Linked DNA regions of Sus scrofa. The protein of the gene in region 2 purifies or fractionates together with the protein of the main gene of each other region. This does not show direct contact. Links are inferred from orthologs where the notes say so. Each region holds a gene or a part of one and is shown on either strand. Other genes may lie near its edges.

Region 1 (9,762 bases), on a different chromosome or scaffold from region 2:
ATGTAAGAGGATCCCCAAAAAACCCCATAATCCTGCTACACAGAGATAATATTTGACATATTTTTCCTTTCTTCTATTTACTTTTTACAGAGATGAAACAAATCTCAGTAATATATGTAGTTGTATAACCTAATAGAACATTTTCAGAAGTAGTTTCCATGTCACTGCAGACCTCGACAACATCATTTATGGCCGTGTGATTCCACTTCACTGTTGTCCTACTGTTGAAACTGTAGGGTACTTGCTAATATAAGTAATGTTGTAATGAACAACTTTGTGGTGATTCCCACTTTATCTCCTTAAGATAGAGTTTCAGGCATAAAATTGGCCAAAGAGAATAACATTTTAAGGTTCTAAACTACTTTAAAAAACAAAAATCCCTAAAATTCTTAACTAATTTCTGAACTAAAGATGCTCTTTTAACTTTTTGCCCTTCATCAGTTGTTTCCTTTCCAGGGTAATTTCTACAGCCTTTTTCTCTTCGTCTGATCTCAGACAGTGATATTGGTATAGGACACTCTTCAAAGGAGGAATCAGCTGATCTCTTTCCATCTGTACCACAGGAGTTGCCGTGTTTGCTTGGAAGGGCGAGTCGGAAGATGACTTCTGGTGGTGTATTGACCGCTGTGTGAACATGGATGGGTGGCAAGCCAACATGGTAATAATGCATATTCATCCTACACTTTGACGATGGATTTCTTTCATTTTTTTTTCCCTCAAAGCATGGTTCCCTAAATATGTTTTGGATATTTGGTCTTATGCACTCACTTTGTTGCCGTAATGTTTACCTTGATAGCTCTTCAGAATGGGTCTGAGTACAGAATGGAGAGGCGGGGGAAGGGTCAGACCAACTGAACACATGTGGCTCAAACACAGCAGAATGCAATTGAAGAAAATGATATGGTACCTCTCTGGAATCAAATTCTGGTTTCTTTCCTTCCTGCCCCAGCTCTCCTTTTGCATTCAAAGGGCCTGTATTTCAGTCCTCTAGACTAAAAAATGAGTCTGTGATTAGCCTACTACTCTTCACTTTTAGCCTAGAACAAACTTAGGAACCCTTTTAACCATTTACACCAACAAATTTGACTGTGTTTCCGCTGTCCGAACCTGCTCTAAGGAGCACTGAGAATTGCTCTTCCAAAACATAACAGGGCTCTCTTACTAGTGCAGAAAGTGGGTTCAAAGTTCCCCCCAGCTCTAGCAGCCTGAATGCCCATAGAAGTCTTCTGGCTGTTCTGTAGATCCTGGATGATGGGGGAGACTTAACCCACTGGGTTTATAAGAAGTATCCAAACGTGTTTAAGAAGATCCGAGGCATTGTGGAAGAGAGCGTGACTGGTGTTCACAGGTAACAGATTCTGGAGTAGCTGCCCCTCGTGTCCTTGCCGCAGCAGATTCCTCTGGTCTCTCCTAGGCTGTAGGGCTGTGTTTCAGATTTGTAACTAAATGGGAGTGTTGTCATTAGATAAAACTTCTGAGTTATTACCTTTGCAAAAATCAAGGAAACCCTAAAGGGAAATTATTTCAAATTCTCGTTCACCCATTTTTCTCTCCCATTTATTCCACTGTGAGTCTCAATCAGTGTTGGGAGGTAGGGAGTGAGTATATCTTGAAAAACTGTATTCAATTATGTATTTTAATTTTATATTTGAATATGAAAAAAATCTATTGTAAAACCATATGTTATATACACATTATAGAACTGGGTAAAGTATTGTTGGAATACCTAAAAGATAGCTGAGAGAGTGTTTCTCGTTTGGGGCACCTTGCACACGCTTAAGCAAACAAAAACACATACACCCCGGCACATGCCACATGAAACCATATCAGAAACATTGATAATATTCGTTTATCAGAAATAGACATGAGTATTTTTTAACAATTGAGAAAATGCTGGTCTAATCAACTGTATCCCCCTTTATGGAAGAGAAGTAAATTTCTTCAGTTGAAAGGGTTGTTTGTTTTTTTTTTTTTCCCTTCCATAAAAAGGGGGGTGGGGAGGAGAAAATGAAAGGAAGTGAGGAGGGATAACGCAGAAGCATCTTATTTACTAATACTCATGGACTATAAGTAAGACTGGGGAGGGCAACATGGAGCTTGAAGAGAATTAGGCAGCCTTTGCCAGCTCCTTTGTCTTACCAGCTAATTTGGTTTTTGTTTGTTTTTTTGGCTTCTTCTCCTTTTAGGCTGTATCAGCTCTCCAAAGCTGGGAAGCTCTGTGTTCCAGCCATGAACGTCAACGATTCTGTTACCAAACAGAAGTTTGATAACTTGTACTGCTGCCGAGAATCCATTTTGGATGGGTAGGTTGCAACATATAGTTATTCAAATTTGTAGGGAGTAAATTAGGTTTGGGTCGTAATGTTGGTCTGATCTCAGTCCAGTTTTGTCCCCTGGTCTTCCTTTGGCTTTAGAAGTTTGAGGGGTTCCGTCTCATACTGAGCCCAGCCAACTTCCAGCTGGAGTTCTTCTGGAGCCTTGTCCCACGCTCTTACTTTTCAGAGGGACTGTGTTTGAGCCCGTGGTGTTTGAGTTGAGCTCTTGTCTGTTTCCGCAGCCTGAAGAGGACCACAGATGTGATGTTTGGTGGGAAACAAGTGGTGGTGTGTGGCTACGGCGAGGTAAGTAGCTGGGCCTGGGTGTCTGCCTCTCCCCAGACTTGGTGCAAATGTCGAGTGAAGGAGACTCGTGCTGTCAGTGTAGAGTCCCTGCTGCAGAGTTTAAAAACGCTCATAGATAAAGTATCTCAAAATAATAGCAAAAGTCCTTTCTTCAGATTTCTGAATAGAGACGTACAGAACGAATTGTCTTCAGATTTTACCACTTTGTCTTATGGAATGGAAAGTTGGCATAATTTCCCTCCAGTTACAATAGTAACCTTTTATGAGACTTAATTTAAGTGAATATGTAGCATTTTGGCCCCACAGATGACTTCAAGTAGAGTGAAGGGTAGCACCTGAAGTGATGGACAGTCAATTATCTTTAAAATAGGTGACAGGGATTTTATTTATTGTCATAAACAATGACCCACAGAAGTCCCTAAGCTGCTAGGCTGTCCTTGAGTTAGTTAGATGCTTCTCAAGTGACAGCAGGTTTTCCTCAAATGAGAAACTAGAGGTTCCAGTTGTTCTTCCTTGGTCTTGTTTCCCTAATGTGATACTTTTATTTCCTTTATCTCTTCTACTTTCCCAAACTCCAGCCCTTGCTACGAAATGTCTGCTAAATCACTTCTGACTAAGGATCACGACATAATTACGATCTGTTTCTCTTTTGCTTGGATTGGAGCATCCAGTCACTTGCTAGATGATGGGTGGTTTCAGGAAGGCTAATTCCTGTCTCCCAGAGAGCCTGCCTGCCCAAATACCCATGCCTTAACGGACCTGACTTCTTTCTTACTCCCTGCAGGTGGGAAAGGGCTGCTGTGCTGCTCTCAAGGCCCTTGGAGCAATTGTCTATATCACAGAAATTGACCCCATCTGTGCTCTGCAGGCCTGGTAAGAACAGAGCAGAAATACCATTAGATTCACTCCAGGTACTTTATGTTTCTGAGAGTTTGTGATTGATTGTATGAACTATTCCTTGCAGAAATCTCTCAGCGGAGAAGCCTAGGATTGCACTGTTCCTTCCACGTAATCGTAGGACAGGCACTCCTACAGCTTCTTGGTATTTTCTCTTCCTGGATAGAATCTTGGGGAGCCTGAAGAGGCCAGTGTGTAGAGTTTAGCCCAGCTTGTCACTTATTATTCCAGTGAGATAGCCCTGGATCTAACTTTACAAAGGACTTTGCCTGCCTCGTTTTGTGACCAGCTTCTGTCCCACTGCCTTCTTGCCTTTGCTTATAGCGTTCCTTCCTTCTCTTCCAGCATGGATGGTTTCAGAGTGGTAAAGCTAAATGAAGTTATCCGGCAAGTTGATGTCGTAATAACTTGCACGGGTAAGTAGTACTTTGGTGTACATGGAGGAGTGTTAATTCTGGGGTTAAATCTTGAAAGTGGTCTAATCGACTGTCCTACAAAGTAGGTAAGACCTGTGTTCTGGGTCCCAGGCTGAGAACTACACTAAGCTATCAGAAGTTGAACATATTTGCCAGAACAAAGTGCCTTTTGCCTCCTTGACTTTTTATCGTGCTTGATCTTAAAACCAAATGCCTGAACCTAAGAGCTCACACGTCTTCCCTCACAGTGTGTACGTGCTCTTTTGTGCCAGCAGACCACCTCTCTCCCCTGTTCTAACTAAGAGCCAGTCAGTGCCTTTGACCCCTGGGATCTCTTTCCTCAGTCGCTCTCTTTGACTTTCAGGAAATAAGAATGTGGTGACACGGGAGCATTTGGATCGCATGAAAAACAGTTGTATCGTGTGCAATATGGGCCACTCAAACACGGAAATTGATGTGGTGAGCCTTCTCTCATTGCTTTGTTGCTGGGCCTTTTTTTCTCTTCCTTCTATCATAGCCTCTTCCTTTCTGTGCGATCTTCCTTTCAGACCAGCCTTCGAACTCCGGAGCTGACGTGGGAGCGAGTTCGTTCTCAGGTGGATCATGTCATCTGGCCAGACGGCAAGCGCGTCGTCCTTCTGGCAGAGGTGCACACGCAGAAGGGTTCGGGCAGTGCAGCCAAACAGTGTGGTTAGCACTGTCGGGAGAGGGGCGGCGGGGAAGAATACTCCACCTGTGCGTCCCTGAATTTTGTCTGTGGACAGAGGAATGTTTCTCACATAGTCTGGTTCCCAAAGTAGAATCCCTCAGAAAATCTCTTTGCTATGTAACGTACTACTTCCTGACCACAAGTGATTCTTCAGCTTGTCGAGACTCAGGTGGACTTGTGGAAAGTACGATAAAACCTAGAGTCCTGGTTTGAAAGTCTTAATTCTTCTTCTGCCAACTTAGTCTAGAGGGGCATTAAGCCTTTCCTACATTTGCCTGATTCGCGTGATGTGACAGAGGGATCACATAGCTCATCCCTGGACTCTGTTTCTACTTCTCAGGGTCGTCTGCTCAATCTGAGCTGCTCCACAGTTCCCACCTTTGTTCTGTCCATCACAGCTACGACACAGGTATGTGACCAAATGCCGGCTCAGCCTGCCCTGAGGTGACTGGAGCTGGGCCTAGATTAGAGTTCCAGCGAGAGTGTGCCCTCCTCTGTTCTTAGCAGCCTGTTTTCTTCAGGTCACAGATTGTCAGGAGTTAATGCCTCCTCAAGGATAGAACAATCACCAGGTAGAGTCAGTGTTTGTGTCCCTTCGAGGTGGCTGTTTTAACTGAAAATGAGGTGTTCCAGCTTAGTTGTAGTTAGTCTATCCTTTCATTAGCAACCAATCAACAGCACCAACAAATCCTCTTAGGATGTGTGCTGGCATTTATTACAATCCACGTCCTGAGTGCTGTCGCTGTGGCAGATCACTGATTACCCCAAGACCCTGTTAAATCTAGTTTGATTTTTAAATGGCCCTGAAAAGTGTTTTTGTGGTTTCTGACCCTCTTTCCCCACCGTAGGCTTTGGCACTGATAGAGCTCTATAATGCGCCTGAGGGACGATACAAACAAGACGTGTACTTGCTTCCTAAGAAAATGGGTGAGTGGATACAGGAGAAACATGCATTAATCCTCAGACTGTTACATTGTTTGGTAAAATGAATATCATGAAAAGCAGTGAATTTAGAGTCGGAGTTCTAATCCCTGTTCTAGCACTTTCTGGACCTCAACACAAGTTCTAATCTCCATGAGCCTCAGTTCCTCTCTCAGTAAAGTGAGAACAATACTACGTACATTGCAGAATTATAGTAAGAAGTGCAGCTAATGAGTAAAGGTGGTTTAGCACAGTGGTTTAGGGTAGATGCTCTTTATCTGAGTAGCTTTATAAAGTTTAGTAAACCACTGATTACAGCCTGAGACCAAAATGAGAGAAACAGGAACAAATATAGGTTTTACTGCCCATCTTCTGTGAGATACACAGTCTCCTGTCATTTCCGGGGTCAGCTGTGTTGTGTTTATGTGACATAATGCATAATTTTTAGTTATTTGCCTTTCTGAGTAGTGCCAACCTCCTCAGCCCAAATCCCTGGCTCTTAAAGCTGAAAAACATCTTGCTCTTGTCCCCTCAAGCGGCTTACCTCAGATTGTTTTTTGGTTTGGGGGGAGGGGGGTGGCGGTTATTTGTTAATTTGTATCATAAGGATAAAAACCCAGAAAGCTTATCTACAGAAAAGTAATACAGTTGTGCCAGGTGTCTTAGAAATCCATGATGCTAAGATTTGAGGCCTTTACAGGTCTTAAGTAAATGTTGGTGACAGCTCTTCTGAGCTAACTGATGTCCACTTCGATCCATCATTTGACTCTGATCCAGCAAAGGAAGTTGCTGCAGGAAGGTGAGAAGTAGTACCTGGTATGTTGGCCATTGAGATGAACCCAGAAGCCTTGCCAGAGAAGAATGGGGAGGTATAAGTCACCCCATCTTGTTACCTCAGCAAATGGCTTTCTGAGTGCACTCTGGCTATACTGAGAGAAGTACGTCAAAGGCGGCTTTGAGGGTCTTTTAAATTACACTGTTGTTCTGAATTGTAGCTTCTTTAAAAGTTATCGCAGCCCTTGTCCTCTCTCTCAAAAAGCTTCCAGTGAAAACAGGGGCGGGTTATGCCCTGAGAGCCATATTTGAAATGGAGCCTGCTTCCCTGCTGCTTTGTTCTAGATGAGTACGTGGCCAGCTTGCACCTGCCATCATTTGATGCCCACCTGACCGAGCTGACAGATGACCAAGCAAAGTATCTGGGACTCAACAAAAATGGGCCATTCAAACCCAATTATTACAGGTAACATGGGGGAAAGCAAATGAAAACTCTTTTCTCCAGTGTTAAGCCAAGCAGACTAGCCAGCTTTCTTAAATAGGGTTGTAGCTGGTTTTGCAGAGAAGTCTGTCCCAAACTACGAGGTAGACAGAGAAGTTGTATATCTAGTAATAGACGTAAAGAGGTAAGCATTTTCTAAGATTTTGGAGCTTGAGCCTCACTCCTAGAGATCCTGATAGAGATAGTCTAGAACGGGGCCCAGGTCTATCTTGTAAAACTTCCCCAAATTATTCTGATGTGTTGTCAGGGTTGAAAACCATGACCTGATAACCTTATTTGGGAGCAGGAGATAAAACTAGAGATGCCATTGTTGGCAACTGTGGAAGCACAGGGAGGAGTATTCCCTGGGGAACGACTGCAGGAATCCCAGCCCAGGCAGGGAGGACCCTGGAGGGTGTTCTCTGCTTCTGAGTCTTCTCTTGGAATTCTCAGGTGGAAGCCACAAGCGCTAACCAATCTCTTCTTTACAGATACTAACGGACCAGATTACCAAGGACCAGTCCACCTGAACCACACGACTCTAAAAGAAATATTTTTAAGATAACTTTTATTTTCTCCTTAATCTTTTCCTCTTGATTTTTTTTTTTTCCTGTAATTTCTTTCTTGTTTTTTCATCTCATTGTCCAAGTTCTTGCAGACCACACAGGAACTTGCTTCATGACTCTTTAGATGAAACTGAGATTCAAGGTTTCTCACCCTAGTGACTAAAGAAAGATTTTACTCTCCCAGCCCAGAAAGGTGATTCTTTCTTTACCGTTTCTGGGGACTTTATAGTCTTAATTGGGTACCTTATTAACAGGAAATGCTAAGGTACCTTCTATGTGGAACAATCTGCAATGTCTAAATTGCCTTAAAAGAGCCCATTTCTTAGCTGCTGAAATCAGTGCTCTTTCACTTCTTCAGAGGAGCAGGGATGGTACCTACCAGGCAGGTAGGTGAGTTGTAGGTGGTGCATGTTAATTTCCCCTAGGTGTTCCAAGCCCTGTTTCCGATGGAAAGGTGGTATGTTTGGCTCAGAGATACGTACTAGTGAATGTTGCTTGTTAAGATCCACTAGGCCCACTTGGATTTAGTACAGCTCTTCCTCCACTCCCACCAGACCCTCTCATTTTTCAGGTTTTTAACCAGACTTTACTCTGTTTTGTCCCCTAGCATTTATTTCTTTTGTTTTGTTTTTTGTTTTGGGGTTTTTTTTATATATATATATATAAGTAAGAAAAATGTTTAGTCTTAATACAGAGGAGCTGCTTGAGTGGTTAGTTGTTATCAGTTTATCTTTTGAACCTTTGGAGCTAAAAGTGCAGAGTTGAATCTAGAGAAATGCTGATCTCAAACTCTGATAATCCCTCTGTTTTAGCCCATAGTTTATAGCATCAATGAACTGGGGCCGTAACAGCAAATTTTATCAGCTCTGCCCCATCAGCTTGTGCTGAAAGCAAATTTCTTGAGCCATTACTCAGTATAAGGCACTGAGCTCTCTCTTTAGGATTTATCCTTTAAGAGCAAATTTCTGGTTAGCTGTGCTTCTGCAATTTAAAATATTTAAAGGGAGGTAGATGTGGATGGAAGGAGGATGGGTAGTTGGGCCAGGGTGAGAGAAATTAATTCCGTGTAACTTGTCTGGGACTTCAGGCCCCATACAACATTAGTTTTACAGAAGCGGTACCACTTTTAATTGACAGACGTCACAGAGAGTTTATGAACTGAGTCTTAAGGGCAGTTTGTACATAGAGAAAGTAATCAGTGTCCTGGCTCATGCTCGGAAAGAATCTGCAGAGAGGTTCTCTCAGAGATCAGAAAGGTGTGTTCCCAAGCCATGCACCCTGCTCACCAGCATTTCTGCATGGTCAGACGAGCTTTATGCTCATGAGCTTTAACTGTATAATTACCCAGGATTGTAAACCCTCAACTTGTTCTAGCTTGTGATCCTTCAGAGTTGGATCAGGCGTTAGTTCTAGGTACTAGAAATGTTCATTTCCCTATCGCCATTGATCAGAGACAAATAATTAAAAACCAGAAATATGAAAAGGAAAGCTTTCACCCTGTGACTTCCTAACTGGGGACAGTGATCTTGCCAAAACTTTTTCCCCTTCCCTCTCCCATTTCTCTCCACCCAGCCCCTTCCCACTCCTTGCCAGTGTGACCATGCTTTTCTTCTCTGTAGATGCTAACGGTTCAAGCCCCCTTTCCCAGGGCATTTAACCAGCCAATCACAACAGCACATCCTTTAGGAGAGGTAACCTGGCTGAGAGTGGTATCCATCACGTCAGTTCTGCTGGAGGGAAGGGGCCCAGGTCCTGCTGCCCTTGGCCTGCTCCCTGCTCCCATATCTATTACTGTGTCCGTAGGAATACTAGGTAAGGGCTCCGTCTCTGTCAGCCATGTAATGAAGGACATTGTGGGAAAATGTCTGGCATCAGAGGGAGCGTGTGGAGAGCAACTTGGGAGGAACAAGTTTATTTTGTATTGAATGATTTTTAATGAATGCAATATTAATCCTTGCAGATGAGCAATAATCATTAAAGTCAATTAAAATGATAAGACCTTCCTGGAAGCCTGTGTCATTCTTGGTTGAACAGCAAAACTTTCATTAGAACCTGTTTTCTAAGACAGACAAGTCATGGGACATTCAGCAGTACATAGCAGAGATTTGCTCAGTACCTAGTATGGAGGGGAACAGGCTGGCTGCAGCGTTCTTCAGTATTATCTTAAATTTTGCAGGCCTGCTCTGTGCCGAGCATTGGGCCTCGGCAGTTTCACTCTAACTTCCTTCAAGTTGAAGAGCAAACTTGCTGCCTAAAATTCGGGGCTCCTCACTTACACAGGCCCCTTATAAGACCCTCTGCCTAATTTTTTTCCTTAAAAAAATGCCTCCAAAGTTATGTAAGCTTCAGCCCCTTCCCACACCTGTATCCATCTCTG
Region 2 (10,354 bases):
TTGGAATTATTCAAATGAAAAAGTATTCTTTGGTGAAAAGGGTATAATAAAATATCGGAGGAGTTCCCATCATGGTGCAACGGAAACGAATCCAACTAGGAACCATGAGGTTTCGGTTCGATCCCTGGCTTCGATCAGTGGGTTAAGGATCTGGCATTGCCGTGAGCGGTGGTGTAGGTCACAGACGTGGCTCGGATCTGGCATTGCTGTGGCTCTGGCGAAGGTCAGCAGCTGTAACTCCAATTCGACCCCTAGCCTGGGAACCTCCATATGCCGCTGGTGCGGCCCTAGAAAAGACAAAAAAAAAAAAAGAACAAAATCAGAGCATCCACACTATTTTAACCTCCATTTCTGATATCGCATACCTTAGTGAACACGGCACTTTCACCATACTCTTCTGGAATAGTAAATAAATTTGCTTATAGTAAAAGTTTTAAAAGAAAGTATAAACAAGCAGAAACATCAGTATCAGGAGCCTTTTAGTCTTCTCAACATTTCCTTCCTTCTTCTTGGTGAACTTGGAGACTGGAGCATTTCTGGCAGCTGGGATGGCCTTGGCACCTGGTTGAAAAGCCCAGCAGGCCAAATGCAAGGAGGCGGGAACAGTTCTCCTTGGTTGACTTGATCACATGCCCATCCAGACCTGGAACTTCCTTCCTCTTCTTTCTGGAGCCATGCCCACCAAGATTGAACGTTGATGGTTGGGGTGCTTCCACCCTTGACTACCTCAGCAGCCCGAATTAGGTGCTGAACCAGAGACCTGTGTACTGTTTCATGATCACACAAGCTCCAAAGGAAAACAGTGCTCAAATCACTGGGTTGTTAAGTCCACATAGTATGTAACCCTCACTTTTAAATATTAGGTCTAATTTGACCTACTGTCTCAGTAAAGTATTTCTAAATGGAAGTTTCCACACACATTTCCTGGGTGTGGAATCTTTACTTGTAACTTTGATGGGAGAGATGAACATTTCATTTATTCACCAAAATTTTGCCACAGGTGCTATGCCTAAGGGAGTAGGTTAGGTGCCTTGGGAAGATAGAGAGTGAAGACTACAGGGACTCTGCCTTCAAGGAATTTGTCTCCCAACAACTCAGGAAATCCTTTCAGCTTCTCTAGATCTCCATTGTCTAATGTAGATAATTTGGGAACTGGGTTAGGTACTTTCTGAGTTCATTTCTGTGACTCTAGAACTCTGACGACCACACACATCCTTGCAGAAGACACAGGAAGTGTGAAAGGTCATTGGCAAAGATCACTTAATGACCTGTTCATGAACGGCATTATATTAAATGCCATTCAAAGCAAGCCGAGCCATCAAAAATTTTGTCCCTTAACATTACTGTATCACAAACTTGACAGTTGCTAAGAGAGCACATCTTAAATACTCTCATCACACGCGCGCACACACACACACACACACACACACACACACACACACACACACACAAATGGTAATTATGAGAGTTCCCGACATGGCCTAGTGGTAAACAAATCCAACTAGGAATCATGAGGTTTCGGGTTCGATTCCTGGCCTCGCTCAGTGGGTTAAGGATCCAGTGCTGCCGTGAGCTGCAGGGTAGGTCGCAGACGCGGCCTGGATCGGGCATTGCTGTGGCTCTGGGGTAGGCCAGCGGCTTCAGCTCTGATTCAACCCCTAGACTGGGAACCTCCATGTGCCGTGGATGTGGCCCTAGAAAAAGAGAAAAAAACAAAAAACAAAACAAACAACCAAATGGTAATTATGCGTGATGTAGGTTTAACTAAACTTAGGGTGGGAATCATTTCACTGTACATTTGTGTATCAAATCATCAAGTTGTTTACCTTAAACTTACCCCATGTTATATGTCAACTCTATCATAATAAAATTGGGGAAAAAAATTTTGTCCTTTTAGAGCTACACGTTTCCTCATTATCTGAAAATACCACATGGATTTTCAGCTCCACACCCAGGCCTAGGTCTGCCCCAAACAGGAATGACACCTGTGCACTCATTGATGCCTGGTCACCCTCCTATGTGAAACCTGACAGAGCCCACAGGTATCCATTTCTCCTTCCTGTAGGTTCGTTCAACATTTTGTCATCACTACATTCAGCTTTTAAGCATTCACAGCAAGCCCATTGCTGTGCATTATTAACATATAGTTAAGTCTAATAGAGCTGTCATAGAACAAATAAAGCACTATGATAGCACTGAGGTGAATGGATTAATTTCAACTAGGAGGACCATGAGAGCATCAGGAAAGAGAGAATACTGGAGCACAATTATTTTCAAGGACAGGACCTGGGAAAGTGTTTTAGGTGGAGTGGTGACGAGAGGCAATAATCAATGATAATTCTAAGCTTTCAAGTCTGGGTCAATGAAAATTTGTTAAACAAATGAACTTCTGGCTGGAGTAACTGAGTGATATGAATGCCATTTCCAATATAATCGAAAAATGAACCGATGTATGAGATGAAGATGTTGATCTTGGCTTTAGACAATTTTTTGAGGTGCCTGTGGGCAATTGATGTAGAGATGCTCAACCAGGCACTTCTCTAAGATCAGGATAGAGGTTGTGGGTTATACACAAGAACTCTGCATCTTACCTTGTATGTGTACAATGCCATGTGATTTACGGAGTGCTTTTCAGAGCCCCTTGTCAACTGTGGATTTTGATTCTAACAAATATCGTATAAAGTAGGTAGGGCAGGATTATGATCACCAGGCCCAGAGTAGTCCCTAAAGTGACATCTGTGTCTGATTTTAGTAACATGACAAACCTGAGACTCAGAGAGTTTCACTGGTTTGCTCATTGGGAGCACTGGGCAACCCTGTCTCTTCTCACTACAAATTTAGGTTCTTTTAAAAAAATTATTAATATTATTATTGTCTTTTAGGGCCTAAACCCACAGCTAGGGGTCGAATTGGAACTGTAGCTGCCGGGCTTACCCCACAGCCACAGCAACATGGGATCCAAGCTGCATCTTTGACCTACACCACAGCTCCCTGCAACGCTGGATCCTTATCCCACTGAGTGAGGCCCCGGGGTCGAACCTGCATCTTCTTGGATACTAATCAGATTGGTTTCTGCTGAGCCACCGAGCCACCATGGAAACTCCAGGTTCTTTTTTTTAAAACAGTAAGTGTGGTTCTGGTTGAGGCCGGGGGAACAGATAACATTTTGGACAACAGTATGAAGCAAGAGAGTAAGAGGACTTTGGGGCAACCCTTATGTTTAAGAACAAAGGAGCAAAGGAAGGTGACCCCGAGATCTGTCACTTCCTACCCCTTGAGACTCAAGCTCCGCTCCGTAAGGCATAAGGGTCTGTCATCCTGTCTTTCCCTGACAGAAGCAAGCAGATTGCTAGGCACACAGCAGGAAACCACTGCATTTGGGGGAGTAACAATGACAGTAGACATATAATCTTGCCGGGTAGCCTGAATAGGGTAAGTGCCTAGACCAGGATGCTGGTTACTGGAGAAGATACAGGGACAGCAGATTTTTAGACATGCTTGGAAAGGCAGCTTCCTGAGGTGAGTCAGGTGTTCCTAGCATTCAGAAGGGCTAAATTTAGGTGTACGTGGATGAAGACAATGGAAAGATTTCCGTGGAAGGTGAGTGGAACGGATAAAAAGAAGAGATGTAGGAAACCTCGGAGGATTTGACGTAGAAGGTGCAATTTGGGGCAGGATTCTCTGGGCCAAACCAAAGGCTCTGGATGAGGCATGCAGGGTCCTGTCCCTGGCGACCGTGAGTTGTGGTGGGAAAGACAGTCCCGGGGGTTGGGTGAGCGTCTCCCTTCTGCATGCGCGTGGGAAGGCCCAAGTTCAGGGTTCAAAAGGCTCGATGGTTAAAAGCACAAAGGGATTAATAAATTCATTGCAGGGCTCCTTTGGGAGGAGGCCAACAATGTGTCCAGGTCCGTTTCCCCGGTGCTAGGGAAGCTCTGGTCTCCACCAGGGTTTCAGATCTCTCTAGGTCTCCCGATTCTTGGCACCGGAGAGCGGCGGTGCCCCGAGCCTCCTTCCTTAGCCTCACCACCGCCTCTGGGGTCTCCTCTCCTCCGACCTCCCCATTGCCTCCACCCCTTCCTCTTTTTCTCCCGGGCAGAAGGGGACGCCCTGCGGGAGTCCTCACGCTCCCTGCGCCGCATGCCCACCCCGCGGCCTCCTCAGCCGGCGGGGAGCGTCCGCCCCGAGCTCGCCGGCGTCCCCCGGGCCGCGGAGCCCGGGCAGGAGCTGGAGCGCGAGGGCGCAGCTTAACGGTCCCGCGGCCGCGCCCCGCGCCCCGCCCGGCGGCGCCGCAGCTGCTGCCCGCCCGCCCCCTGCGTCATGACGCCGGCGCCCAACGCGGAAGCCGCTCGCGGCGCGCCTGGTCCAGCCGCGGGCTGAGCGCGGAGCCGCGGCGGGCGCGGGATCCCGGCCGGGGCGCGAGCCGAGCACAGCCTCCCTCTCCAGCCGGGCCGAGCGGGCACTGCGGGCGGAGCGGGGCGAGCGCGCCAGTGGGCGCAGCGGACACAGAGCGCCGGGGCCGCCGCCGGGGGGGATGCGGCTGCCTCCCCGGGCCGGCGTGTAGAGAGGGCGGGTCCCCGGCCTCGGGAGCGCGGCGGTGGAGGGGACAGAGGCGGCGGCCATGGCGACCCCCGGCAACCTGGGGTCCTCCGTCCTGGCGAGCAAGACCAAGACGAAGAAGAAGCACTTCGTAGCGCAGAAAGTGAAGCTCTTTCGGGCCAGCGATCCGCTGCTCAGCGTCCTGATGTGGGGGGTAAACCACTCGGTAAGGACTCGGGCTGCGGCGCGCAGTCCCTTTCCTCCTCCTCCTCTTCCTCCCCTCTCCCCTCCTCCTCCCGCTGCAGCTGCTGCGGGGCTGGGAGCCCGAGCGGGGCCCCAGCCTTCGGGCTGCTAGCCTTCTGGGGCTGCCCGCTAGCCGAAGCGCCTCGGTGGCCGCAGCCCCGCGCAGCGCGCCAGCCCCTCGGGGGCCGCCCGGGCGCCACTTGGATCCCCTTTGGACCTAGGGCTGGATGTAGGACAAGGGTCCCATCTGCATTTTGAGCTCTGCGGCCGGTACCATTGTCGCCCCCAGTCCGTCCGTCCGCTCGCTGGCGGATCTGTCCCCGGAGCCCAGGAACTGGGAAGTTTGTGCGGGGCACGACTCCGCCTGGGCTATCACCCCAGCGGGGGCTGCTGGGGTCGGAGTCCTGGCGATCGCTTCCTCTGCGGGGGCGGCCCGATCCTCCGTGATTCTGCAGGTGTACCTGTCCGAGGCTAGGGAGCGCCTGGCGGCAACCCCGCACGGGGGACAGGGGTGAGAATACTGGAGATCGGGGAGCTTGGGCAGCGGCTTGGTGCTTAGGTCCTTTTTTTTTTTTTTTTTTTTTTACCTTTAAAGGCGATATTCTTGGACACAAGAAATCTTTTTGGCAAAGAAAAAGCCAGTGTAAATATGGCACTGGGGTTTAGCATCTTCCTCTGCTCCTCTCCCGCATCGCACTGCCGCTCTGCCTGCTGAAGAGCTGCTTGGCGGGGAGTCTTGCTCCCCACACCTCCTCCCCCACCTTGGGGAGCCAGGCCGAAGTCCCCGACTGCGGAAGGCGGCCTGGGGATGACTTCGGGAGCGGGGGTTGGGGGTAGGTCTCGCCGGGAGCGATGGAAGGCGGTCTTGAGTTGATTGCATCCGTTTGGGGGGTTTGTTTCAAAGGTTGGAGAGGACGCTTGGAAAGGTTAGCCTAACACACACAGCCAGAGGTGCTGAAGATGCGCGGCTGCGGGCTCTGCGGACTGCGGTTTGAGGGTCCGAAATAGCCTCCTGCCGACCTTACCGGGAGAAACTCTTGCAGTTTTAATCTCCTTAGGATCAGGAAACCTGATAGGAGCTGTTGGCTGAGCCATGAAAGTTTAAATGAGCCTGTGCATTTTGACCATGACCTTACTCACTGCAGTCAGCGTCTGAGGAAAAGTATAAGCTTGCCTGCCTTACTTTTGATTTGCATGGGTGTCTGTGGGCCCTTTTCAGCATAATAGAAATGACAGAAAACCATGTTTTTTGTTTTTTAAAAGAACATTCTCAGTTTAAGGAAGTTAGTTTAAATGATTCAAAAGCATTGTATGTATTTTTTTTTTCTTCTTTCCCAAGCTGAGTGGGGGGGGGGGAAGGTGAAACTGTAGCAGGATTGATTGTATTTGCAAGGAATGACTGTAGAAAGTCGAAGAATGATTATTTCTTTCAGCCTAATGCCTGATCCATTGAAGTTCATGTTAACTTGCTAATAACTTCTTTAGCAATTAGGAATGTAAGCTTTTGCAACAGAAAATGTTACTGCACCAAAACTCCCCTAAGTTTTATTACAGTAAATAAAATGTTATTTTTCCTATGTAATAAGTGTACAGTTCAGAGTTTTGTTTCTGAATCTGTTCAGCTTTTTTGTTATTACGTTATTTACTTTTTGAAAAATTAATGTTGTTAGTTCTGCATATATGGGTGCTTTTATCTCCTTTGAAGTTCTGGTCAGGGGAGTGTTTGTGTCTGAGGGTTTAATCTAGTAAAGCAGTGGTGATAATATTGCCAACGAGAGAGTGTGCTCTCTGGGAATTAGTTGGAACTCCAGTTTACTTTAGAAAGCCTTGTAATTGCGTGTGTTTTACTGTACCCACTTCTGTTGCTGCTTTCTACTTTTGAATTGCTACATTTGTTTTAGAGTTCCTTGCTAATTGGAAATGCTTTTGAAAGTACTTAAAACTTATAAAAATAATGTGATTTGTAGGTACTGCGTTTTCTTTTGCTTTCAAAAAAGGTAGCAATTCTTAGTTATTCAGAGGACTCATGCTTCCATACTTGCAATATAACCACGTTACTCATTCAACAAATACATATCAGACACATAGTGCCAGCCTCTGTACGCCCCTCATATTTTTGTCGGAATCTCTTTGAGAGCTCTGAGTTGACCTAAGAAAGGTCTGTTTCAGCATCCTTCTTTTTAAAAATGTCTATTTTCTTTATTATTTTTGAGAAAAAAAGGAAGTGTATGTAAAGATGAAATCTAAGCACTTAGATGCCATGCATTTCTGGTTGGTTTCATTTTAGTGACAAAGTCTTAGATGTTTTCATATGACCTTGTGTGCACCAAAGTCTATAGTATGATATGAGAATAAATTTGTCAGCATTATTAAGGAGGAAGCATCGTATTGTGTATGAATGGAGATGGTTGAGAAAGCCTAGCAGAAAAGGAAGAGCTCTTTTTAGCCCGTCTTTCCATGTATTTCTGATGTGTTCAGGACTGATGGGAAAAGATTTGTCGTGAACATAGCCATTTCTTGCTTTTAAAGTTCTTTTCGGTTTGTCTTAGGACATTTAGAAGCAACCGTTTATTTGAAGCACTAAAGGAGATCTGTAGTAGTCATTTGCTACATAGAGTATCATATAGGCTTCTTCTAAGATTGGGAATCTTCTACACACTGCAGTAAAACCCTCGTTGGATCTGGGTTCTAATTCTTTCTCTAATTTTGTTGGCTTTGGGGCCCATTAACTATTTTTGCATCGATATTTGCATCTGTGAAGTAATCGGACTGAAAAATTTCTAATTTTTTTCCTAACTTCCAGATTCATTACTTTTACAGTTGACTAAGTTTCTAGCATTAAGTTAGGCTCCCCAGACTAGGAATAGTGATAGAATATAACAAAAGTTGCATTACTGTTACAACCTTGCAAATGCAGCTGCCCTCAGGGAATTTGCAAGGCCGTGGCTAGTGGCAAGGAAATCTGTGGTAATCTCGGTGATCGCAGGACACGTGTGAACTCAGTTTGTTGGACAGATTGTAGTTGGGCTGCATTGTCGTCTGTTAAGTCCTAGTCTATTTGATTGAAATGTAAAAACTTGCAATTAAGGTGGAAAATTTCAAGTCCATTGTGGTGGTAATTCTCAATGACAAGAATAAGCTTGAGTTTGTGTGGTTAATTTGATATGTTACTGCTTTCTGACTTAAAATACCCATCCGTGAATGGATCACTGCCAATTTTTATTTTAAGTATTTTAAGCAAGGACTATAATTGAATACATAAAGGAAAAGATGACTTAAGAAGGCAGTTTTGTCTTGTTACATTTGGAATTAAACTAAAAATGATCCAGCAGTTAGCTTCTTAGAATTGTATTTTAATAGTGTGTGGAGCATGTAGAATGATAGGAGTCAAGGCTTGTTTTAAATAGATGTTCAAGAAGAGTTTTATGCAGACTGAACCGGGAGCCTTTTAGTAATGTGTATTTAAAAGCCTACTTAAATATCTAAAGGAAGACCTTTGTATAGGAAAAATTTAAAGGACATATAGTTGGTTTAAAACAAATGTAGTATTTATAAGTAACCAATATTAATGTCAGTCTTTTGGTTGGGAGCGGTGGAAACGTGGATGAGCACAGGCCAATTTGTAAATATTAGGAGGCTTTTGGAGGTCAGTGTGGAGGGAAGGTAAGCAACCCGGGGGAGCAGCAGTGCGCTGGGCTTCGGGGATAATTGGAACCAGGTGCTTGGGTGCAGTTGGGCCTCTTCTATTGCTTGCTTGTAACTGTCTGCTCCCCCACCCACCCCACCCCCTGCCCCAGGGCAGGGAGCTAGTGCTTCCTGAATTTCGCATTTTTCACATCCTTCCAAAGGGGCTTTCTGTCTCTGATTCAGTTGTAGAAATCCCATGGAGGGATTCTGACTGGTCCACCTTCCTCACTGGTCCTGGCATCTCCCTGGACCAAGCTGCTATGAAAAGGTGGCTGCTCTTGCCCACTGGGCCTGATGCCTGGGAGCAGAGGTGCCTGTCCTGGTATAAGAGCTGGCTGATTGTCTTGGTGCCCATGTGCCCTGTTTTGTGTGTTTGGCAAATACATGGTTTTCTGACTTGAGCATTCGTAGCTTTTATTATCTTCTCAACAAGGTCTGGGACTTGAAATAATGTTGGAGAAATAGATGATAGGTTTATGTATGGGCACTGGAAAAGATTAAAGAAGGAAACTAGGGTGTAAAAATGCAATGAAGGACTATGAAATATTGACTGAATGGAATATAATGAGGCAATTAAATTAAAATAATAATGAGCTAGATTTTAGATGAAACTCAGTGAATTCAACCCAAGATAACCACTCATTTAAGAACTAGTCTTGGAGTTCCCGTCGTGGTGCAGTGGTTAACGAATCTGACTAGGAACCATGAGGTTGTGGGTTTGATCCCTGGCCTTGCTCAGTGGGTTAAGGATCCAGCATTGCTGTGGCTCTGGCATAGACCAGCGGCTACAGCTCTGATTAGACCCCTAGCCTGGGAACCTCCATATGCCATGGAAGCAGCCCTAGAAAAGGCAAAAAAAGACCAAAAAAAAAAAAAAAAAGAACTAGTCTTACACAACTTTTTTTCTTTACTTTGAAGAATGCCAAGCACATGTGTATATACACACACACACACACCACAGAGTTTATTATTAGGGAAATATTTTTATACCCCCTAAAACTTAGGATTATATCCCAAGAACAGAATACATTTTCTTCTCCATTGATTGGCTACCTTAGAGTGAACTTGAATAATCAGAATGATTCCGATGGCAAGACAACGCTTTCTCATTCTATGACAGGATTGTCTGCTGTATCTTTGGAAAGATTTTTCAGCAGTAATTGTAATAAACAAAATCTCCCTTATGTTGATTAGAAAATGCAGTCAACCGGAGTAATTAATACGGCCAGCACACCCTTGGAAATACAGATTTTAGAATTTAAGCGAATTAGTGCAATTGGGCCAAATGGCTTGTGGTCGGGACAGATTAGGTTCAAATCCTGTGCCCCTCATTGGTGGGCTCTTTGGGCAGATAGATGATTTATCCACTTGAACCTCAGTTACTCATTCTTAAAATGGGGATGATGATGACTGCCTCGCAGGATTGTTTTGAGGATCGAGTCAGAGCACTGTAATTGGCACATAAAAATGAACCAATTCAGATGCTGTTAGGCTGGTATCGTGATAAGGGCACGATAAGCACGTCTCAAAATTTAATGTGTGTTTGAATCACTTGGGGACATTTTAAAATGGCGTTTAGATTCTGGCGTTCCCATCATGGCTCAGTGATAATAAACCTGACCAGGGTTTATCCATGAGGACGCAGGTTTGATCCCTGGCCTCGATCAGTGGGTTGGGGATCTAGCGTTGCCCTGAGCTGTGGTGTAGGTCGTAGACATGGCTCGGATCCCACGTTGCTGTGGCATGGCTTAGGCCGGCTGCTGCAGCTCCGATGCCGCCCCTAGCCTGGGAACTTCCTTATGCTGTGGGTGCAGCCCTAAAAAGATAAAAAAAGGATGAAAAAATAAATAAAATGCAGATTCTGACTCATCAGGTCTGGGGTGAGTCC
Region 3 (9,762 bases), on a different chromosome or scaffold from region 2:
TGATATCCACTGAGGGACAGAAGTGTAAGACATTTTCATTTTACTTTGCTTCTGCTCACCTGGACTTTTTTACATTCCCATTATGTATATGGGGCATTATACAATTTTAAAATATATAAATATTAATATTAAACAAAAAAGTATATATACATACATATTTTAAAACTCCAAGATCTAAACATTAAGATGTTTAAATCTAAATTTGCACATCTTAGTGTTTAAGAGCGCAAAGTCTGGCTCAAGGAAGAAGGGTACACCTGCCTAGATTCTACAGAGGCAGGGTTTACAAAGAACAGAGAGATTGGGTTTATCTTCTTATTCTTCTACAACTATCTACACAATTCAAAAAGGAATCCTTGCCATTCGAAGTGAGCCACTACCTCTCTCAAAATGTTTAAAGCACATTCCAACAGTAATTACATTGTTGACGACCTGAAAATGGGTCACCCCACAGAACTGATTAAAACTCTCTTATGCAATCTCCTTTGAAGGAAACAAGGACAGCCTGTACAAATATTTCAACTAGATCTACTTCCCTAAGAGAAGATAGTACACATTTGTAGGTATTACCAAGTTCTAAAAGCTCACAGAAAGGCAAAGGAAAAATTATGAAGAAGTTAAATTAGCCTAGTCATTTGCCCTAACCAGTTTCACATTACATCATTAATTTAAGAAAGTAAATAGGTTTCTGCAGTGTCAGTGTTACTAAAAACGGTGCCTGAAGTTTAGATATTTTTACTTTGAAAGTTATGATGAAACAATTATCTGAAAATGTATGTTAAGACAAGATTTGAGAAATAACTACATTTCTAAAGAATATGTAATTGCATTTCTACGGTTTACTGTTAGTTTCAACAAGCTATATTGTTTCCTTTCTGATTAGGAATCAAGGGTAACAAAACTAGATTTAGCAAGCCAATTTTTAATCTTTAAGTAAACAGGTATTTATGATATTATTTGAAGGTATTTATATGGTTTGGACATTCTATTTGTAAAGGTTTACCACTCTACATCAAGTTGAAAATGCCTGTAGAGGAAGAAACATCTTAAAAGATAAATGGGGGAGAAGGAACCAAATGTGACACAAAAGCCCTCCCAAACCAAGTGAAACCTACCACAATGGAATGGACTGCCCCACCTGTACACCAAAGGTGAATGTCAGATACACTCGGGGACTGTCTCAAAGACTCAGCACCTCACAGCACCCTTTCTCTATCACCATCTGAGAACTCTAAAACTCAGGAGGCCCTTGTAGCAATGGGGATATTTCCAATTCAATTATCCATTAAAGCATCTTCTCAATTACTGAGTTTAGAAAACTCATCTAAGGGACCAGGGACCTTAAGAGGAAATCACCAGTTTATTCTTTTTTTTTTTTTTTTGGCTTTTCTAGGGCCGCTCCTGAGGCATATGGAAGTTCCCAGGCTAGGGGTCTAATCGGAGCTGTAGCCTCAGGTCTACGCCAGAGCCACAGCAACACGGGATCTGAGCCACGTCTGCAAGCTACACCACAGCTCACGGCAACGCCGGATCCTTAACCCACTGAGCAATGCCAGGGATCAAACCCGCAACCTTATGGTTCCCAGTCAGATTTGTTAACCACTAAGCCACGACGGGAACTCCACACCAGTTTATTCTTAAAATGAGCACTACGAGTTCCCAGCCTAAGAAGGAATTATAGATACTCTGTAGTATTTTTATAGTATAAAACTCTAAAATACATAAAGTAGCTAAATGTTAGGAGGTAGGCTGCTGCATTTGATTGGAAATTAGTCTGTGACTGTTCTAATGCTTCCACATTATTGATCCTAGACAGAAATGTGGGGGCCTAGAAACAAAACATAAAGCTCAGAATGTGTTTGGTTTACCTCTTTTTAAAAACCCTTTTCTGGGGGAAGAAGGGGGAAGTCTAATTCCAAGATGTCTGGCATTAATTCTGATGTCAAGGCTACAGTAGGCGCACGATACTTGAACTCTGACAATTCTGAACATGAGGTTCAGTGTGACAGAAAACATTCTAATATATTCCATTTTCTTCTTAAAATTGGTCAATATTTCATAATATTTTTAAATCATCTACAGAATGAAACATTTATTTTATTTATTTATTTTGCTTTTTTAGGGCTGCTGCACCCATCCATATGGAGGTTCCCAGGCTAGGGGTCTAATTGGAGCTGTAGCCGCCGGCCTACGTCACAGCCACACTAGATCCGAGCCTCGACTGCAACCTACACCACAGCTCACAGCAATGCCGGATCCTTAACCCACTGAGCAAGGCCAGGCATCAAACCCAAAACCTCATGGTTCCTAGTCAGATTCCTTCTGCTGCGCCACAACCAGAACTCCAGAATGAAATTTTTAAAAGCTGTCTTAAGTTAGCTAAGTTACTACCATTCCACAATCTCAAAATATTTAAAGGCACACTACTATGTGTAGAATAGGTAACTGGCAAGGACCTGCTATGTAGCAAAGGGAAATCTACTCAATATTTTGCAATAATCTATATGGGAAAAAAGAATGGAGATATATATTCACTTTGTTGTATACCTGAAACTAACACAACATTGTAAGTCAACTGTATTCCAATAAAATTTAAAAAAAAGTTAAAGGTATCAACCCTCAATCAAGTACACATCTATAGCATCTGATCCTAAAATTAAAAAAAAAGAACTGTCACTAAATGCCTTAACAGGGGTTGCAGGTTAATATCACCAATTAGGGCAGAAGGAAGATGAAGGTAAGGGAAAAAACCACCCTTTATACAACTCCACTGAAGTTTCTACTCTCCTTTCTTTAGCTGTTTAGAGGGTTAAAAAGATTAGCAGTGGAGAGAATGGAAAAGGGTTACCCAGAGTCGGAATGAACAAAAGCAATGTAGGATATAGAGAGGATTTTTAAATGGCAGAATTAGAATAGACACATATAACATTAATTCCAACAACCTGGCATTTAAAGTGAGACTTAAGATGTTTATTATTTTACTGCTAATAGCCTAATGAACAGTGAGTCTAAAAATTATTTGTTTCATCTGGCCCTGAAACACAGAAAAATCTAGTTATAGTCATTACAATCACGCAAAGGATATATTTAAACATCTACTATCACACTTTGTAAGTCCCCCCAAAAGTTACTAATTAACCAAAGCCAAAAAGGAAAAAAATTAGGCTAACTAAACACTTCTGGAATTATCATAAATTGCAGAATTTTTTTTTTTCTATTTCAAAACTCTCTAAATGAGAGAAACTGAGTAGTTACATACCTATAGATGGAGATTTGAAAGGGTATTTATCAGGAAGATCCACTCTAACTTTCCAAACTCCACCTTCATACGGTGCTGAAATGAAAGTAAAAACGTTAAACATTAGAACTGTGTCACCAAATTAGAAAATAAATCTAAGTTAAACACTAAATCCTAATCTCTTTTAAGAACCTTGCAAGAGTCAGAGATCTCATAACTAGTAGTACTCTATGTGCAATTATGACATTTATCTTTTAAAAATCTAGAGTTAAAAAAGGTTCATTTTCTCTCCCAAATTTACCTGATTCTTTAAAGTATTAAAACACTATTCAATTACCTGGTAAGTAACAGCCTAATATTTCCATCTACCCTACTCCCATGCCCCAAAGAAAGAAAATTTTGCCCCAAACCATCTATAACTTTCAAAACCCCAAATTCACAATTCATGTTTAATACTGTCACCCAGAGATAAAAGTACATAAAGTAATTACAATAAGAGCAAGATTTCCTTGCAGGTTCAAGAGTTCAATTAAATTTACTTTTCAAAAACTACACCTATCACCATTACCATCTGCTTTGATATTTTCACTAAGGAGTAAAAGACTGTAATAGAAAAACACATACCAACGCATATACTTACTTCCCTGTGGTCCATAAAACTTCACTACAAATTCATTGAGTCCTCCCAGGATTGTAACCTCATGCTTACTCTCAATGCTAAGGTGGAAGGTAAAGGAAATCACACAGGCTTTGCACTACCTGGAAGAACTAAAGATGGCAACCCCAAGATATGCCATTTAAAGTGTTACCAACATTTTATATGAAACTAATAAAATATAAAATGTGAACAATAATTCTGGTAATTTAAAAGGCAATATAGACGTCTGTGAAAGGAATATGAATGAGCTTTAGATTCAAAGACTGGTGTTCAAATCCCAGAACTGCCATTTACTGGATTTGAGCCTAGACAAGAGAATTTTGGGTTTTGTTTTTTTATTTTGTTTTGTTTTGTTTTTTGCTGTTTTGGGGCCGCACCCACAGCTTACAGAGGTTACCAGGCTAGGGGTCCAACTTGAGCTGTAGCCGCCACCGCTGGCCTACACCACAGCTCACAGCAACACAGAGCAAGGCGAGGGATCGAACCCGCATCCTCATGGATCCTAGTCAGGTTCGTTAACCACTGAGTCACAAAGGGAACTCTTAGACAAGAGAATATAAACTCACTCACTCTCTGAGCCTTTGTTCTCCTTTGCAAATGAGGAAAACACCACTTTACAGCTATGAAGATTAAATGAGTTAAATATGTAAAATGTGTTAAGACCACATTGTACATATAAATAAACAAAAAGCAGGCACTTAATTTTAGTTTTTCTTCCCTCTGTACTCTATCCTCCCCAACCTATCCCTAATGATCCTTTAACAAAAAAACCAGTATTCCCTTTAGTCAAATTCAAGCACTCAGCAAAACACTCATGCCTCTAAACTGGAAATGCCATACTCCTAAAATTACAGATTTACCAAATCCACATAAGTTTCTCCCTGGCTTGAAGAATAATCAGAATAACTAGTGATACAACCTTCTGTGTTCTCCTTCTCAGTAACTTATACAAGTCTTGAGACCCACCTCTTTAAGGTACTAAGACCAATTACAGAAATCAAACTAATCCACATCAGCAGAAAACAGGGCTACTGGTCTAATAATACCTGTTTCATGTCTCTGCTTTGTGTTCTAACCCAATAATGACTCTACCGATAAAAATTTTAGGTGGTAAGATTTTTGGGGAGCTCTCAAATCCCACTGAAATGGTTAAAAAAACCCAACAATCAGATACAATAGGCTGGCCTCATCTTTCTCAGTCAGCAGTGCAAACTACATTTTAACTATGTATACTATTATACAAAAGAAAAAAAAGCCAAAGAATTTTTTATTATTTATTTTTCATCTTTTTGCCTTTTCTAAGGCCACTCCTGCAGCATATGGAGGTTCCCAGGCTAGGGGTCTAAATCAAAGCTGTAGCTGCCGGCCTACACCACAGCCACAGCAACGCAGGATCTGAGCATCGTCTGCGACCTACACCACAGCTCACAGCAACACTGGATCCTTAACCCACTGAGCAAGGCCAGGGGTCAAACCCACAACTTCATGGTTCCTGGTCGGATTTCTTAACCACTGAGCCACGACGGGAACTCAAAGAAATTTTTAAGTGATCTCTTAGAGAAAAGTTGTATTTTTAAGGGCTTGAAATTAAGTATTTGGCTCTCTAATCCTCTGTTGTCCTGTAGGCCAAGAGACAGAGGCCAGGTGTATTTTTGGCAAAGTCCTTGCTCAAGAGTAATGAACAGTACCTACTAAAGATATTAAATAAGATAATTTAGTCTATTTGATCTCATTCTTTTCTAAATGAAAACTAACTACTTCAATAATATGCACAATGAAAGGATTCAAAGAGTATCCACACTGGAAAATTGATTTAATTTCTCATGGTCAAATGACACATGCATGCATGTTTTTTCGTGTACTAAATTCTTCCTGACCAGTCACCCTCTGACATCTTTCTACAAAATATTCCAAAGCTAATGCTAATGTAATTAATTAAAGTACATGTTTAAATTGTTTTAAACAACCAAAACAGCTCCCTTCCATTAGTGAAAGATAATGAAATCAAATCTAGCTATAATAAACAAAATTAAATACTAATAATTAAATTCTTAAACCAAACAAATCAAAAAATCTTGAGGATAAAAAGACTTAAGAATGACACCAAGCCAGAAACCACAGAGGGAAAAATCAGTAGGTACAATTGTGCATGTGCGTGCAAACAGAGACACTTAAATTTTATATATTAGAAAAAATATAGCTAGGACAAACTATGAAGAAAAGGCCAAAATATCCAAGTTAAGAAAACTGGGGAGTTCCCATCGTGGCACAGTGGTTAACAAATCCGACTAGGAACCATGAGGTTTCGGGTTTGGTCCCTGGCCTTGCTCCGTGGGTTAAGGATCCGGCGTTGCTGTGAGCTGTGGTGTAGGTTGCAGACATGGCTCGGATCCCGAGTTGCTGCAGCTCTGGCGTAGACCAGCAGCTACAGCTCCGATTCAACCCCTAGCCTGGGAAAGTCCATGTGCCGAGGGAGTGGCCCAAGAAATGGCAAAAAGACAAAAAGAAAAAACTGGAATTAAGCTATAAATAGTCCAACTCACTAAAGTAGTTTAAAAATGAGGTAATTTCCAACATTAATTGATAAAGATGAAAGAGCTAGATAAAACCAAGTGTCCCGTGAAGTATAAATTAGTATTCCTCAGGTCAAATTTAGTACTATATTCTAAAACTTAAAATGAATTTACTCTTTCACTCCATCTTCACTTTTTTGACGTTACTTAAAACAAAATAAAACAGACACTGCTGATGGAAATGTGATATGGTTTCAACCACCCTGGAAAACTGCTGGCTTGGTAAAGCTGCACACATGCAGGCCCTACACCCACCAGCACTACCTCTAGTAGATATGGACAGCGATGTGCACCAACACACACGTTTAAGGATGTTCACAGCACTATTTGTAATATCCAAAAATTAGGTTACGACCCAAAGGTTCATCAATAAAAAGGATAAATTATGGTACAATCACCCAACAGAAAATTACACAGCAATAAAAAAATAAAACCGCCACATGTAAATGGATGAAATCTCACAGATACTATGGTGAAAAAAGCAGATAAAAAGAGCACAAAGGATATGATTCCAATTACACACACTTCCAACAGACTAAATGCATCAAGGTGTCAGAAATTAGGACAACAGTTACCCCAGGGTGGGGACTGTGATCACTGAAGAGACCTCTGGCATGCTGATCATACCTTTATGTACTGTTCCATTTATCAGTGAGCTACAAAAATGGTCTGTGTACTTTTTGTATATATGTTATGATTTAATAATTTAAAAAACTAACAAAATAAGACTATCTGATATGCATATAAATGTTTGTTGTATTTAAAATTTTAGAATGGAAATAATTCAAGTATTTATCAATAGGATACCTGTTAAATGAATTATAAGCTATCAGGCTGCTACTAGCACCTATTAGTGTATATTAATGTCCTATCCCCACACAGAGCGCTCCTCTGATGTGTTTTTGCTCAACCTGGGGTTACTAATACTCAAATGAATACACTGTAGGAATACAGACAAAGATATCTCAAACAAAAATAAATTTGCAAGGATAATAAAACAATGGAGTAAGGTAGAGGATCAAATGAGTTTAACAAAAGAAATAAAACTAATTTTACAATATAAAAATCTTAGAGGGAGTTCCCGACATGGCACAGTGGAAACGAATCTGACTAGTATTCCACAAGGATACAAGTCTGAACCCTGGCCTCACTCAGTGGGTCAGCGATCCGGTGTTGCTCAGAGCTGTGGTGTAGGTCACAGACACAACTCGGATCTGGCATTGCTGTGGCTGTGATGTAGGCCAGCAGCTATAGCTCCGATTGGACCCCTAGCCTGGGAACTTCCATATGCCGAGGGTGTGGCCCTAAAAAGCAAAAAAAAAAAAAAAAAAAAAAAAGAAGCAGCATTCCCTATCAGACCTATTTTGCTATAAATGACAGTGATCCATAGCAATTAACTATGAATTTAATTACAGAATTACAAGTTATCTACAACAATATCTCTTTTAGAAAATTGAAGGTCATCTTTTCTATCATTTACGTGGATGCAATAAATTTAGCTTTCTTCCATTTTGTGATCTGTCTGGCATTTAGTCCATGCTTTTATCTACTTTCCAAAGAAGATCCTCCTTTGGAAACAGTCAAGTTAAAATGAGATTAGAAATTAATGCTCCAAACCTTCTCTTTCCCATGACCTCTGGTACAACCCACATTCCAGATACACTAGGTCTGTCTTTAATTACACATTACACTGTAAATTAAAGAGTTCTTAAAGTCCATTTCATATGAAAAGCTAAAAGTAAACTGAATGAAACCTTTAAAACTTCTACCAAGTTGGTAAAATGAAGAAGCTGTGCTAAATTTATGCCGCTCTGTAATGGTACAGACGCTAAATCAGATGGAAAAAAAGAATTTAAGTTTAGATGAAAGAAAAACACTGCATTAAAAATAAGCCATTCCATCACCCTGAATGAATGACTTGCCTACAAAAAAATATAAAATTACTTGACTGCTGTTATCATGTGTATTTATGGTAGAGGCCACAAGTTTCTTTCTCATTTCTGCTGCAAAGTCAAGGGCAAGGAAGGCAAACGAGAATGCCAGGTTACAATGACAAAAATAATGATCTATTTCTGAGATGTGCTGGTCAGACTAGCAGACTGGCAGGATCTCACTAGAAGGTTCCTTCGTTACCTTCTCACTTTCAAAGCTTGAAAATACATTCTTCAGATACTGTTCTGGTAAAAATGTGTTAAATAAGCCCATTAAAATCACATTTTACTCACCTCTAAGTTATTTGTAAAATACTGATTTTTACTTACTTAGCATTTCACTATTAAGGAATATCAGCATTTTCAGCAGAATAATGTTTAACATTCCCAGGAACCCGTTTCACTTTTAAAATGCCAGCCTCCCACCACCTTATTTTCCCTGAATGGCATTATGATTACACAATCTAATATTTAAAGGTTAATGCCAAACTGCCAAGAGAAACCTGACATTCTTGGCAAAATGTGTCTATCGGGATTTTAGAAATGATTTTTATATAGTTCTGGAATCTTCCAGAAAGGGAGCTAAGGGTTTAGCCTACTTATAGGTCAAGGACATGGGATTCAGACAGCATTGTTTCCTAAATTTGCTGCTAAGTTTATCAGATAAAAGAAGGTGGCCTCCCTGAGCTGTGTCCATAGCAGTAAGGGACTCGGGTAACGAATGGGCTTCTGTGCAGAAGGCAGAGCAATCTGTGTGGCTTTCTATCTACAAGTTCAGACCAGTCTACTTCTAACTCTCCTCAAGATTAACCACATGACAAAATTGGAAGAAACTGGGGTAACCTTCACTTCTTGGTTTTTCTCGATAAAAATATGGTATGTCTATTAATCCATTAATGTGCAAAAATCACAGCTGCTTTAGGATTACATTTATAAAGATCCTTCTCCTTTAAAGATATAAATGGAAATACTAATTAAAATATATGTCTAGGATTGGCTCCAAAATAAGCTGGTGTGGAGAGTTAGGAGAGGGAGGTACAGAAGAAAGGACAGTGGCCCTGAGGCAATGATTACTGACTCTGAGAGAAAGGGACATGGGGGTTCCCAACAGTGTTCTCTCTCGTTTTGAAAAATTCTGAAAAATTCATTTAGTCAGTTATCAGAACTTGAGCATTTAACAAGCATAACAATTCAGAAGAACTTAGCTACTACACAGCTCTTAAGAGCTTACAAATTATCCACTACTTACCTGAAGTTCAAAACTTAGTTTGCAGAAGAAAAAAACAGTTCAGTGACCCAGTATTTAAGAAAACAAAGGATAAACAATAAGGTCCTACTGTATAGCACAGGAAACTATATCTA

Evidence for each region. Proteins that work in one complex are often made in the same cells at the same time.
Region 1: the proteins of PIP4K2A (region 2) and AHCYL1 purify together in Homo sapiens (co-immunoprecipitation; 3 studies listed by BioGRID and IntAct, counting the BioPlex papers as one, with this or other methods). This does not show direct contact. The link is inferred for Sus scrofa from reciprocal best matches to the Homo sapiens genes PIP4K2A and AHCYL1.
Region 3: the proteins of PIP4K2A (region 2) and UBE2H purify together in Homo sapiens (affinity purification with mass spectrometry; 3 studies listed by BioGRID and IntAct, with this or other methods). This does not show direct contact. The link is inferred for Sus scrofa from reciprocal best matches to the Homo sapiens genes PIP4K2A and UBE2H.

The regions. Positions count from the first base shown.
Region 1 is NC_010446.5:110,092,608-110,102,369, reverse strand, and holds the end of AHCYL1 (adenosylhomocysteinase 2), read left to right. Parts: intron 1-563; coding exon 564-658; intron 659-1,241; coding exon 1,242-1,348; intron 1,349-2,186; coding exon 2,187-2,303; intron 2,304-2,557; coding exon 2,558-2,621; intron 2,622-3,405; coding exon 3,406-3,494; intron 3,495-3,863; coding exon 3,864-3,934; intron 3,935-4,298; coding exon 4,299-4,393; intron 4,394-4,482; coding exon 4,483-4,581; intron 4,582-4,983; coding exon 4,984-5,052; intron 5,053-5,491; coding exon 5,492-5,570; intron 5,571-6,683; coding exon 6,684-6,804; coding exon of another isoform or gene 6,805-6,808; intron 6,809-7,310; coding exon 7,311-7,317; 3' UTR 7,318-9,387; downstream 9,388-9,762. UniProt on the Homo sapiens protein: Multifaceted cellular regulator which coordinates several essential cellular functions including regulation of epithelial HCO3(-) and fluid secretion, mRNA processing and DNA replication.
Region 2 is NC_010452.4:52,220,045-52,230,398, forward strand, and holds the start of PIP4K2A (phosphatidylinositol 5-phosphate 4-kinase type-2 alpha), read left to right. Parts: upstream 1-4,488; 5' UTR 4,489-4,618; coding exon 4,619-4,762; intron 4,763-10,354. UniProt on the Homo sapiens protein: Catalyzes the phosphorylation of phosphatidylinositol 5-phosphate (PtdIns5P) on the fourth hydroxyl of the myo-inositol ring, to form phosphatidylinositol 4,5-bisphosphate (PtdIns(4,5)P2). Has both ATP- and GTP-dependent kinase activities.
Region 3 is NC_010460.4:18,882,427-18,892,188, reverse strand, and holds part of UBE2H (ubiquitin-conjugating enzyme E2 H), read right to left. Parts: intron 3,956-9,762; coding exon 3,879-3,955; intron 3,335-3,878; coding exon 3,260-3,334; intron 1-3,259. UniProt on the Homo sapiens protein: Accepts ubiquitin from the E1 complex and catalyzes its covalent attachment to other proteins. E2 ubiquitin conjugating enzyme that transfers ubiquitin to MAEA, a core component of the CTLH E3 ubiquitin-protein ligase complex.